Linked DNA regions of Arabidopsis thaliana. The protein of the gene in region 2 interacts with the protein of the main gene of each other region in a pairwise test. Each region holds a gene or a part of one and is shown on either strand. Other genes may lie near its edges.

The links.
Region 1: the proteins of HAT2 (region 2) and TCP4 interact in binary tests that used the Arabidopsis thaliana proteins (3 or more experiments, as listed by UniProt).
Region 3: the proteins of HAT2 (region 2) and PTF1 interact in binary tests that used the Arabidopsis thaliana proteins (3 or more experiments, as listed by UniProt).

What each region holds. Positions count from the first base shown.
Region 1 is NC_003074.8:5,059,936-5,064,661, reverse strand, and holds TCP4 (TCP family transcription factor 4), read right to left. Parts: upstream 2,982-4,726; 5' UTR 2,355-2,981; coding exon 1,092-2,354; 3' UTR 1,064-1,091; intron 982-1,063; 3' UTR 510-981; downstream 1-509. UniProt on the Arabidopsis thaliana protein: Transcription factor playing a pivotal role in the control of morphogenesis of shoot organs by negatively regulating the expression of boundary-specific genes such as CUC genes, probably through the induction of miRNA (e.g. miR164).
Region 2 is NC_003076.8:19,215,765-19,219,790, reverse strand, and holds HAT2 (Homeobox-leucine zipper protein 4 (HB-4) / HD-ZIP protein), read left to right. Parts: upstream 1-1,783; 5' UTR 1,784-2,143; coding exon 2,144-2,294; intron 2,295-2,429; coding exon 2,430-2,740; intron 2,741-2,823; coding exon 2,824-2,903; intron 2,904-2,999; coding exon 3,000-3,309; 3' UTR 3,310-3,520; downstream 3,521-4,026. Other genes in the region: AT5G47360 (Tetratricopeptide repeat (TPR)-like superfamily protein), read left to right, coding at 3,913-4,026. UniProt on the Arabidopsis thaliana protein: Probable transcription factor that plays a role in auxin-mediated morphogenesis. Negatively regulates lateral root elongation.
Region 3 is NC_003074.8:389,204-393,285, reverse strand, and holds PTF1 (plastid transcription factor 1), read right to left. Parts: upstream 2,567-4,082; 5' UTR 2,043-2,566; intron 1,790-2,042; 5' UTR 1,765-1,789; coding exon 697-1,764; 3' UTR 519-696; downstream 1-518. UniProt on the Arabidopsis thaliana protein: Plays a pivotal role in the control of morphogenesis of shoot organs by negatively regulating the expression of boundary-specific genes such as CUC genes, probably through the induction of miRNA (e.g. miR164).

The DNA.
Region 1 (4,726 bases), on a different chromosome or scaffold from region 2:
GATTCTTCTTTTCTATCTTTTGATGTAAACGTACTTTATGATATCTCAACTCATCCATCTGGTGTGTTTTGATTACATCACATGAAAAGGTGTTGCTGCTTTTCTATTAAAAGGTAAAGTTAAATATTCTTATAATACACATGCATTTAGACCCCAAGTGTTTTTGACTAAACTTTGCAAAAATCCAATATTATTATCAAAAGATGATGATGATAGAGAAGATAGACTAGTTTTGATCAACTTCCTTCATTTAGACCAACATGGGTGGCTCTCTTTACCTATCTCATGTCCCCATTCTTTTACTCATCAAAGACAACATCACATTCAAGTTTGGTGGATCTCCTCCTACCACTAAAGTAGGTGAGAGAGAACAATTATTGACATCAGACATAGAAAACAATAATCATATTTTTACTCTTAGTGAGCTAAGTTTCACTTGTAATTTAAGGGAACTGGCTAAATCCCCCTGATGTTCCAGAAGAAGAAACAATTCAAAACTTACTGTTCATGGAAAATGACCAACTTATATCTCTTGGGACCAAAAGATTACGTGAGAAATAGGAATCTCATGTTGTTTAAATAACAAGGATCTAGCCTGAACAGAGCAGTAAAAGTAAAACCCAAAGAGAAAGTTTCAGACTTTATTAGAACATCCACGGAGTTACACAATAAGAACAGGGAGCAGTAACAATAGGATGATGATGATACAAAGTTACAAACATAACACAACAAGACGAAACCTTGGAATCTAACCATAATTGAGCTACAGAAGAACGTTGGTCTAACTGGTGAAAATATGAAAAATTACAATCGGCAAGGTTAAGATATTGGAAGAAGAAGAAGAAGAACCTGAAACTGTTGTTCTTTCTTCATTTCCTTGCGTTTTCTAGATTCAGGCCATTGACTACACAAACCGAGAACACCTTCCCTGTTCCGGACAATCTAAGTCAAGCTTCAATGTGCATGGAAGCTAGACAAGCCCTGCAAAATGGTTTAAAGTTCAATGACCAAAGAAGTACAAAAGTAGTGAATTTGATGTAAAAGGACAGAACTTGAGATAAACCTGAAACTTAGAGGATTAGTTTCGATTGTCAATGGCGAGAAATAGAGGAAGCAGAGGACGGCTTGTGAGTGAGACCGTCGTGCTGCTCCTCTTCTTGGCCCTGAAACCGTGCTGGTATGCGAAAACCCGAAGAGAATTCACCTGAGGCGAATCCGATTCCGGGGATTGCTGATTGGTGAACCGGTGGAGGAAGGTGATGGTGGTGGTTGAGATCGTCGGTGGAGATGGATTGGTGATGATGGTGAGGATCAAACCAAGCACGGATCATGGGACTGTAACTGGACTGAAGGGGACCCCTCTGAGAATAAAGCTGTTGGCTTTGGCCAAGAACTGGCTGAAACGACGTCGTTGAAGGAGTAGGAGGAGCGAACAGAAACCCTCCTCCGTTTCCTGTATCGGTTGCTCCGCCGCCACCGCCGCTGTTCCAAGCCACTAGTCTCTGAATCCTTCCGAATTCCGACGACTGCTGCTCCCAACTCGATGTGTCAAACCCTAACGGATTGCTCTGTCCGTAGAACAGAGTAGGCTCGGAGGCGGAAGCAGAGGTGTGGTGGTGATGTTGGTGGTGCAGAAGCGACGGTGGACCATCCGGGAACGATTGCAGCGAGAGACGGAGATCTTGGTTTTGGCTATTAGTTCGAGAAAGCAAATCCGGCGGATGCTGATGATGATAGTTGTGCATAAGGTTATGATTCGAAGGAGCCTCCGTTGAAGAGCCAATCACCGGAAAAAACGACTTTATAGTGTCAGCTATCGAATCTGAATCCATTGACGGCGGGAGAAAACTCGACTCGTTGTTACTCGGATGCTCTGCTCCTCCTCCGTTGAAGCCAACACCGAACTGAAGCTGTTGTTGTTGTTGTTGCTGTTGCGGCGGTGGCGGAGACGGAGAGATTTGGGTTTTGGCGGTGGTTCTTCTGGGTTTAGCGTTAGCAGCGGCTAGGCGAATTGCATCGGCGGGATTCCAGGGAGGAAGCTCAGCGAGCTCGTCAATGGAAGTCTTAGCCTTTTTGATAAGCCAATCAACGGCTTTGCTAGGTCGGTCGAAACCAAGCCTGTCTTGAACATCGTAAAACTGAATCGCCGTGTGAGCAGAGAGTCTCACGCGCCGGTCACGTGGCCCTTTAGCCGTGCAGACTTTGCTGTGGCGGTCTTTTCTTCCGGTAGACCGAACAATGTGACCACCTTGCACCTCAACAATCTCGCCGCAGCCGCCGTCCGCCGCATCCGACGTAGAACGGTGCCTCATTGAAGAAGGAGGCGGCGGGTGATGGAATTGGTCGTCAGACATTGGTAGAGCATATTCGTCGAGACGGCGGCGGCGGCGGCGACGGTGGTCGTCGTTAGAGGGTGAGGAATCCAGAGTAACTCAAAAAGGATGAAACTCCCGCATACTTGCTCTCCTCACCTCAAAACCCTAACCCTAAAAACAATCCTAAGAAGAAGAGGTTTAGTGAAAATTGTGGACTAACCCATATTTGAGAGAATCTCTCTCTTTTTTTCTATAGCTTAAAGTCTCTCTCTATTGTTTGGTCTGTGTAGTAAATAGAAAACGCAAGAAGGAGACCAAAGAGATGAAGCAAGCAAAGCAAGCGAAGGTGAGAGAGAGAAGAGAGAAAGGGAGATGTGTAATTGACCAATCAAGAAAAACCCAGAGAAAGCTTTTCTTTTTATTTTTCTCTCTCGGGAAAATGGTTAAAGAGAAAAAGTAAAATAAGCAGAAGGAAGAGGGAAGAGGAAGAGAGTGTTGTGGGTTTGATGATGACGCAACTGGGTAAGATGACAGTAAGTGTTTTTTTCCTCTCATCTCCACATTCAATACTTTTATTTTTTCTTTCTTTCTTTTTTGGGTAACCAAAGCTTCCTCGTTTCCCAAATTTATTCATTTTTTTCCATTCTTTGTTTAAAAAAAAAATCTGATTGTTATAAGGTTTTAACAGTAAGTATTCATTTTGTTCATGTTAATTTTTAAAATCAATGTTTAACTTAATGTGTAGATGCAAATACAACCAAATAATAATCAACACAATCATAAACTAAATTGTAGGATGCCAAAATATTAGAAAAAAAATAATAATAATAATAATGATGGTTTTTAGAGTTAGATGTTTCCAAAACCAAATTTGTTTACCAAAATAATAGTATAGGATTTGTTATGTGCATGCAAATCATTATGTTATTTTCTAAGAGAATACATTAAACAGACTACTTTAATTTAGTGTGATATAAAAATACTAAGATGTGTTAAAACATCTACTTTTGGTCAGAGTTACTAACTTCCTTGATATGAAAATGGGCACTCTTTTCGTGGACATGTCCACATACATACATAATCATGGGGATTATATACTTAAAAAGTTGAAATCACTGGAATGAACTAGCTACTTTATTTTTCGAGTTTCCGAATTCAATAAATGAATAAATACCCTAAAAACCTATGGTGTTAGATGGGTCAAGGTTCAATTCAACCTTTTGTGCTTCTCGGTTTCTTTTAAGGGTTGACCCATGCTAGTTCAATGCAAATACATAAAGCTTGTTGATGCTCCACTTCTTTTTACCTTTTTGTTGTAAGAATCTCAATAGTTAACTAAAGTAGATTTTATTCGAAAAATCGAACTCGTTAAAAGAAGAATATAATATTAGTTAGCAATACAATTAGGGCTCTTTATAATCTAAGATTTTCTTTTTTCATCTCTCATCTTCGTTTTTGATGTTTTTGTTTTTTGCAATCCTGTTTTAGATTCTATAAACTAGTAACAAACACAATAAGACTCTCGTTATTCTTTGTTCTAAAATCCAATACTTCTTTTCTAGCTATTTTGACTTGTGGAACTAATTGATTTCACCGTATCGTGTTCGTGTGCATATCACCCAAATTCATATATGAAAGGTATTTTGAAATTGAAGAATACGACGTATAAATAAACTAATAAAGGTGAGTAAAAGACAATCTAAGCTTCAACGGAGACATTTCTAAGATCTTGAGAATTTTACGAGTTCAAAAATAATTGGTGGGACTCTATAATAATAGTATAATGCTTCTTGAATCCCAACCAATTTGACTATAACTCTCACAACTAATTCATGTATGGAATATATTGTGGTTATAATACTTGTACCACAAAATATCTCCAGATTGGTGAAAAACGAATAAATACAACAAACCTATTATATTGTTCACACAATTTTGTAGCATATTAAATTTGAACACACGTACGGTAAGCTAACGTAATTTTCAAGTAGTTGAATATGTTTTTTCTTCAAAGCAATAATAAAAACTTGACGCAAAGGATCATAACTATATAATTTTTTAGTTGGAAAAATATATATAGTATACAGCATTATTTGATAGTTTAAAACTATTCATATAAATAATTACTATTAGACCACCTACTTTAATGTAATAATAAATCAGAAAGTGACATATTAGCATGATAGAAAAGGGTCAATTAACAAACCTAATACGAACACAATAAAATAATTAATCAAACAAAACAAAATATAATATTTAAACATGAAATAGGTTGTTTAGTAGAGAAAAGGAGAATATATGTCATCCCACGGTTGCATATTAATTAAATGTAAATCAAAAGTAGCTTCCACTTGGAATTACGGTCACGATTTGCAACACAACAAAATAGAATGATTACGAGAGATTTAAAT
Region 2 (4,026 bases):
ATTGTTTCACCCTAGTGCAAGATCCGCGGTCATGCTCAATTAAGTGCTAAAAGTTAGACTAGTAGACCAAATTTGAATCCGATATATATATTACCTTGGTGCCGAACTCAAACTTAGACATGCTCGAACCTCAACACCAAGAACACTCGATGTTTTTGCCAATACTTACATAAAAGCTATTGGAGGATCACTAATAAATGATTGATCATCAATCATCATGCTTTGCGGACTCTCTTTTTCGTTGAGGGGTAAATGATTACAAATAAACATGCGCGCGTGGATATAACGCACTTGGTCAGTGCGTGTGGCACAAGTCAGAGTGAACACGTGGGACAGCCAGATCACACTGAAACACAACTCCGACATCTTGTCGGATCTTATGTAAAGCGTTGGGTCCCACTTTTCATAATATCTCTCACCACGAAACCCATCTTTTTGCTCTCAATTATTGTCGCTCATTGCCGTATCTCTTCATAATTTCACTATATACATGTCTACGTTAGGCGGAAATTATTAAATTGTTTTTGGAATTTTAGTTTACATGTTATTTTTTTCTAAATAAACATGAAATATATTTACAAAAGTATATCCAAACCATCATTTTTTTATTGTTTACATATACACTAATGACACTTTTATTTGGATTGTGAATTATGATTATGCAACGATCACTAGTAGTTTACTAGAACAATTAAGTTTACATGCTTCAGGCATTGTAAAACAACTATTTACAAAAACTGAAGTTAGTCTACAACTAGTTTTTGTGAAAAGAAAGGAATATTAGACGATAAAAAAGTAGGCAGCAGTTAAAGGAATCAAATAATTAACAAGTTAGCATTGATTGAGGCGGATGGTTACACATGATAAGGAGCAGGCGAGTGAGGAAACAACACAACACGCACGATCACGCTGTTATGACCCACATGCTCCTATCTCCATGTTACTGTACGCAAAGTGGTTATACATTTACACACACTTGACCAATATTGCTCACATTTAAATTTTTATTTCTAAAGGAAAAAGCACAAACATTTAAAGGTTTTACTGACGGAAGAAACGAAAAAAAGTAGTAGCTTTAAAATGTCATTGTTGATGAAAGTAGAAACCATGATGATGATATTTATGTGCAAATATTCATCTCACACGTATATCATTGGTTCATAACCGTTGGTTGGTCCACAACTTTGAACAAGTTCAGATTCTTTTTGATTGTGTTTTGTACCAACCACTCCAATTAGTCAATATTCCATTATATCCAACCTCAAATACTATTTTCCCTTTTCTCTTTAAAAAATATTTGGACAAATAATTGGCTACACTATTGGAGATTTGACTCAGCTCGGTATGCCGTAACTAATCAAGATACTATTTTCTATACTTTCTTTTATTGATATCCACATAATACATGTACTTTGAGTATAATGACGTGTACTTGATTAAGACAAAACGAAGTACGAGAATTATTGTATTTATCAACTTTGAGACATACTACATGATATGGATCATGAAAATTAACACAAGTAGTGCAAATTGCGTTATCCATATACAAAAAACATCGCACCTTGATGATTCACTTAATTGTAGATTACTTTCTCAGAGTGGTCCGGACATTTCTATTGGTTTTAAAGACATTGGCTTTAAATCTTCAGACACAAAACACATATACATGTGTACACTTGAAAACATATTGGCCATCTTATTTGTTTTGGACAAACTGCCATCTTATTATGCATGGGTTCTTGTAAGGAATAAACTAAAAATGTTTGTGAAAGAAAAAGAAAAACACAAATATTGAGAAAGTACAAAAAGAAAGACATGGCAAAGGCCAAAGGGGGGACACAAGTTGGAGATAAAGTAATACAAGTCCAAAAACAAAGAAACAATAATGATGGATTGTAATTAGCCACCTGACAAAATCTCTCATCATTCAAAGTACTATATTAATCCCCTCTCTTCTTCATTACCATCTCACATCTCTCTCTATTTCTCTTCCACAAAGAGTCCTAACTTCGAGTTGAAACAAACACCATTTCTCATCTCTATCTCAGAAAGAACAAACCATTTCGTGTTCTTTCTTTCTCTATTCTCATAAGGAAATATAATTCCTGAAACTGTTGAGTTCTTGTGAAAGGAAATAAAAAACATGATGATGGGCAAAGAAGATCTAGGTTTGAGCCTAAGCTTAGGGTTTTCACAAAATCACAATCCTCTTCAGATGAATCTGAATCCTAACTCTTCATTATCAAACAATCTCCAGAGACTCCCATGGAACCAAACATTCGATCCTACATCAGGTATATACTTAAATCTTCTCTGTTTTTTTTTTTAAAGAAACAGAACAGATTTCAGAATTGAAGTATGAGACTTTTCTTCGTTTCCAAGTAAAATAAAAACAGATCTCAAACTTAAAATTTGATTGCTCTTTGCAGATCTTCGCAAGATAGACGTGAACAGTTTTCCATCAACGGTTAACTGCGAGGAAGACACAGGAGTTTCGTCACCAAACAGTACGATCTCAAGCACCATTAGCGGGAAGAGAAGTGAGAGAGAAGGAATCTCCGGAACCGGCGTTGGCTCCGGCGACGATCACGACGAGATCACTCCGGATCGAGGGTACTCACGTGGAACCTCAGATGAAGAAGAAGACGGGGGCGAAACGTCGAGGAAGAAGCTCAGGTTATCAAAAGATCAGTCTGCTTTTCTCGAAGAGACTTTCAAAGAACACAACACTCTCAATCCCGTAAGTGTAAAAAAGTCAGAGGAATCAAATGATAATTATCGTAATTACTTTGAAATAACCAAGGTTATTATCATAATTTACAGAAACAGAAGCTAGCTTTGGCTAAGAAGCTGAACTTGACGGCAAGACAAGTGGAAGTGTGGTTCCAAAACAGAAGAGCTAGGTGAGATTTTCTTGTCTTAACACCAAAATTGTAAAATTACATTTATACCCCCTTGTGTAGAAGTTTTTACTTACAAGGTCCGATTTGGTTTTACAGAACCAAGTTAAAGCAAACGGAGGTAGATTGCGAATACTTGAAACGGTGCGTAGAGAAGCTAACGGAAGAGAACCGGAGACTTCAGAAAGAGGCTATGGAGCTTCGAACTCTCAAGCTGTCTCCACAATTCTACGGTCAGATGACTCCACCAACTACACTCATCATGTGTCCTTCGTGCGAGCGTGTGGGTGGCCCATCATCATCGAACCATCACCACAATCACAGGCCCGTTTCTATCAATCCGTGGGTTGCTTGTGCTGGTCAGGTGGCTCATGGGCTGAATTTTGAAGCCTTGCGTCCACGATCGTGATTTTTTATTTTAGTGGTGGGAAAAGGGTGTTTTGGTATTTTTCGTTATCGTTATATAGTCTATCTGTGTGGGGTCATTGTAATTTTGGATGATTGGCCTTCTCATGAACTAGTCCTATGTATGATGCAACCTTAAAAAGATTTAAATTAGCAAAAATTAGTTACAAACTTGCTATATTAACCAAAAATTATGAAACTATCTTTTTTTGATATCTTACAAGAGTTCTAAATTAAACCAAAAATTCACAAACGTCTTCTAGATAAATACACAGTTTCTGAGCATGGTATAAGTGTAGCTTATATGCAGTTGCTCAAAAAAGAAAAGAAAAAGAAGTGTAGCTTATTTGAAGTTCTTAACGAAATCATGAAATCTTGTGACCTAATCTGACTTCAATTGCTTTTCCGATTCAGATCTGACAAAGATGTATGAGCAATTCTTATTGGGTCTTAATGGGCTACATTATTATGTCGGCCCATACGTTTAGTCTTTCGTCGTCGTTTCCATCTGCGAAAGCGAAACTCTCCTATTTCTCTCACTCAAGTCTCATTCTTACGATTTTCTTAACGAAATCTTTCATCAATCGCTACACTTATAGCGACCCAGATGCCAAATTCATTGATTTCTCGTCTGGTATCTCCTTCATTACGATCTCAGCCCTCAAAAATCTCAGCTTTACGTTTTTTAACAACTGTCTCAGCCGCCGAGAGATTATACGGC
Region 3 (4,082 bases), on a different chromosome or scaffold from region 2:
TAGCCTAGCTACACATCTTAATTTTTATATGGGAATGGCTTCTTTGCATCTTGATAGTTTACTTACTATGCTAATAAGATTTTAAAATGGGCACTTGTATGTATAATAACCATTCATGATGAATTTCTATTTGATAATGGGTTCAATATATATCTGCTTCACATGACATAGTAATGTTAGGTTTGTTTGGGTTTTGTGGAATCTCCACTTATATCATCATCTAATAATCTATCTAGCTACGGTCACATTGAGTTCTATAGTTGCATTGTACCGTGCATCCAATAGAAACATAATACCTCGATAACAGATCAGTATAAATTATTAGATTCAATTTCATATTATTACGTTACCTATTGATGAATCTGATTTTTTTTTTTGCTAAATATTTGATGAATCTGAATGTAATTTAGCTTCTCATCTCAAAGTGCATACATTACTATCAGATACTTATAATACATTTCATGTATGTTTGTGTGTATTCAGATCCTATGAGGAAGCTATATATATATATATACATGAGAAAGTTTCAAAACACATGCTAATAGTAAATTAATAAATCAATTTATAACATTAATTTGTCTATTAAAAAATATATCAGCAAAACATAGTACAATAGTAATTACCTTATATTTTGTTTTGTGTCCCCTTATTTCTGAACACATCAAACAACAATTATATCGTTTCAATAATCTAACTTCACATATGGTGATCACTTCCTCTACTTGTACAACGCTCCGAGCCTAGATGCCTCGACATGTTAGCCGTTGTAGTGCTATTAGTTCGGTTGAATTGGACCGACGACATCCGATTATCAATGTCTCTACCACCATTGTTGCTACTACTACCATGTAACAACGAATATAATGTCGAAATGTTTTGGGAAGACGAAGATGAAGAATTACCCATTAATGGCATTTGAAAATGGCTTACCATTTGCCTCGGATCTAATGTCTCCATAGTCCCTGAACCAGCTGACGATGATGATGGAAACAAAGATTGTATAGTTGTAGTTGTTGGTGATGTCGTCATTGGACATACCAAAATTTGTGATGGAAATGGGACAAGACTATGTAGTTGATGACTATGATAATCTGCCTGTAAACTCAAATGTTGGTGATGATGATGATGATGTTCCAGGTTGTGATAAGTTCCATAAGACCCAACATGATGATTGTTTGTGTAAACGACATCGTTTTCTCCTTTCTCTCTATCGTTTTCTTCGCGGCTAGTAGTAGTAGACTTTTGTACACATCCATTGATTTTAAACCCGAGTTGGGTCGGATCTTGACCGGGCCGTTGACCAAGATTCAAGAAGGACTGATGATGGTTGAAGATGCTGAAATTTTCCGGCGAGATAGGTAACGGAGGTAGCTCGTCGATCTCCTCTTTAGCTGCATCAAGCAACCAGTCAACGGCTTTGCTAGGCTGGTCAACACCGAGCCGTTCTTGAAGATCGTAGAGCTGAATAGCCGTTGGGACTGATAATCTCACGCGTCTGTCACGTAGTCCACGTAACGTACACACTTTGCTGTGACGGTCTTTGCCTCCAAAGGCGCGTGAAACCCTAACAATCCTCGGATCCTTGGATTTCATCCACGAAGAAGAAGAAGAAGAGATCGATGTAGGCTGCTTTTTAATTACGGTTTTGCCACTGGTGGCTCTGACTTCGGTTTCTTCTTGATCCTCTTTTACTTCTCTTTCACGTCTTGTCGTAGCGCCGCCTGCAACTTCGTCGTTTGCATCTTTCCAAGAGACGATATTCATAATGCTATTCTCGAGATCTTTATATCTAATACAGAAAGAAGACCAAATGTATATCCATTAGCAGAAAACATAAGGGAATTATGGCAAAAGAATTCAAATAATATAGTTAATTTCTGAATCCTTTTAAAACGAGAGCGAATCCAGAAAAATGGAGAGAAAGTAGGAATTGTCTAAGAGAGAAAATTAGGGTTTAATTTAGCCTGTTTTCTTCAATCGACAAAATTCTTATAATCCGGACTGAAGAAGAAACAAAAAAAAAAACGTGTACTGTTTCTTACATGAGTTCCAAAGTTTTGTACGGTCTTGAGCTTGAACAGGAAATCTAGGGTTTTGCTGTTCTATAAAATGAGTAATATGATGAAGAAGAGAGAATGAGAAATAGAGAGAAGAAAGTATGTGATTCGACTTTTCTTTTCAAAAAGTATATGAATAAAATGAAAATAAGATAAAAAGAAAAAGAAAATTAGAAAGAAGAAGATGCTTTTGGAAGTGAATATGAGAACCCTACCAATATCATAAGCCTCCAAAATTTAGAAGAATTGCGACTTAAGTATTTATGTTAAAAAAAGCAATGGATGTAGTAATGCCACGTGGCGGATTTCGCTATCCTCGAAGGGAAAATAAAATGAATGCGCTGAATAATCAGTCAAGTTCATTTTCATCTTTAATATTATGGATCATATCAAATCTACATACGGAGGAGATATTAAACTCGAATATTTTATCATCCACGTATGTGATATGAGTTGCAGTTATAATACGGCTAAGAAGAAAATCCCAAAAAAAGTATACGCGAATATCTAAATTTTACAGAAATTTTAGATGCCAAAATCAAACATACATTGACGTGAAGTTATATATAATAGTAGCTTATTAGAACATCTAACCAATGTTATGAAAATAACGACATTTTAGGAATAATTATTGTTGTGAAATGGATGATGTACGATTATTGATGGAAAACGTATGAATTTTATCTCAATTAGCCAAACCATGATAATTTCGTGATTTTTTTTCTTTAATTGTCCACTGTAAATCTATTGGTAGAATTAAAAAGCCAAGACCTATATTATTTATGATCCTTGATTTTTTTTTTTGCTCTTTTCAAAAATATGTTTTGCAGCCGCCAATGCACTCGTGATATATTGAAATGAAGTTGGATCTATAATATTATGACTAGTTAAACACTTCATCACTTTCTTTTCTTAAAAAAAAAAATGAAACTACATCAATTATTAACCAGGTATTGATTTGTTTCATAACACTTCTATAAATGATAAAGATTAGACTTTAGAGTTCAGCGTAGCGTTTTCTTGATCATTTTAACTCATCTTTTAAATTGGATATCTTATGAATAATCTAATTAAAAGAATATGGTACATTATGTTTAAATTTAGTCCTTGGTTCTACAATATGAAATGTAACTCACATATATGGTAATATATAATATACACACAGTATATGGTCCATGTGAATATTGGCATGCTGTTATATCGACAATTACAAAAGGTTGTGGTTTACCCGATGCACGCCTTGTGTACCTTGTTGAGTCATGACTCATTACCTTTTCAAAACACAAGTACTTTAACTAGACATCACTAAGCCCTAATTTACTTTTGCTTCATATATAAAAATCAGTTTTAACATCTTTATTTATCGATAAGGTTGTGTTAACCTTGTGATTTTTCTTTATATAAGGATTTTTTTTTAATAAGATTTTCTATATTAGATCTAATGATGTATATATTATATTTAAATGTGTAATCTAATATAATTAATATGGACGGTAGGATATAAGAAGTAATATGATTTTGTTATTCGGATGCATCATCTGTGAAAAGGGGCACCTATATAATTCCCATATTACTAGTCAAACCATTCTTTTAGGTCAAACTTAATGTTCTAAGAATAATTGAGACGAGTATTTTTCAGAATTTCAAATCCATAAAACTAATAATAAAAAAGTATCCACATGATTGTCTTTTGAAGTATGCAACTTAATTAATTATCCATTCACAATAAGATTTGTACCCCTTTTTCAAATACATTTTAAATATCTATATGAATCAATAACATTCATCAAATTATTAATTTTATTAAATTGTACATTGTCTTTTAAATAAAGTGATATAAGAATATTAGAAGTGGACGAAAGCAATATATCCTTATGAATCGAAACAAAGGAGTAAGAGAAAAAGAAAGTGTGATGATGATCATTTTATCTTAAGACATCACATGGGAACAAAGGAGAAATCGGACAAACTTAGAATCCATTAAGTCATGTCTACTTCACCGACTCCAGAATTTTGTTGTCTCAT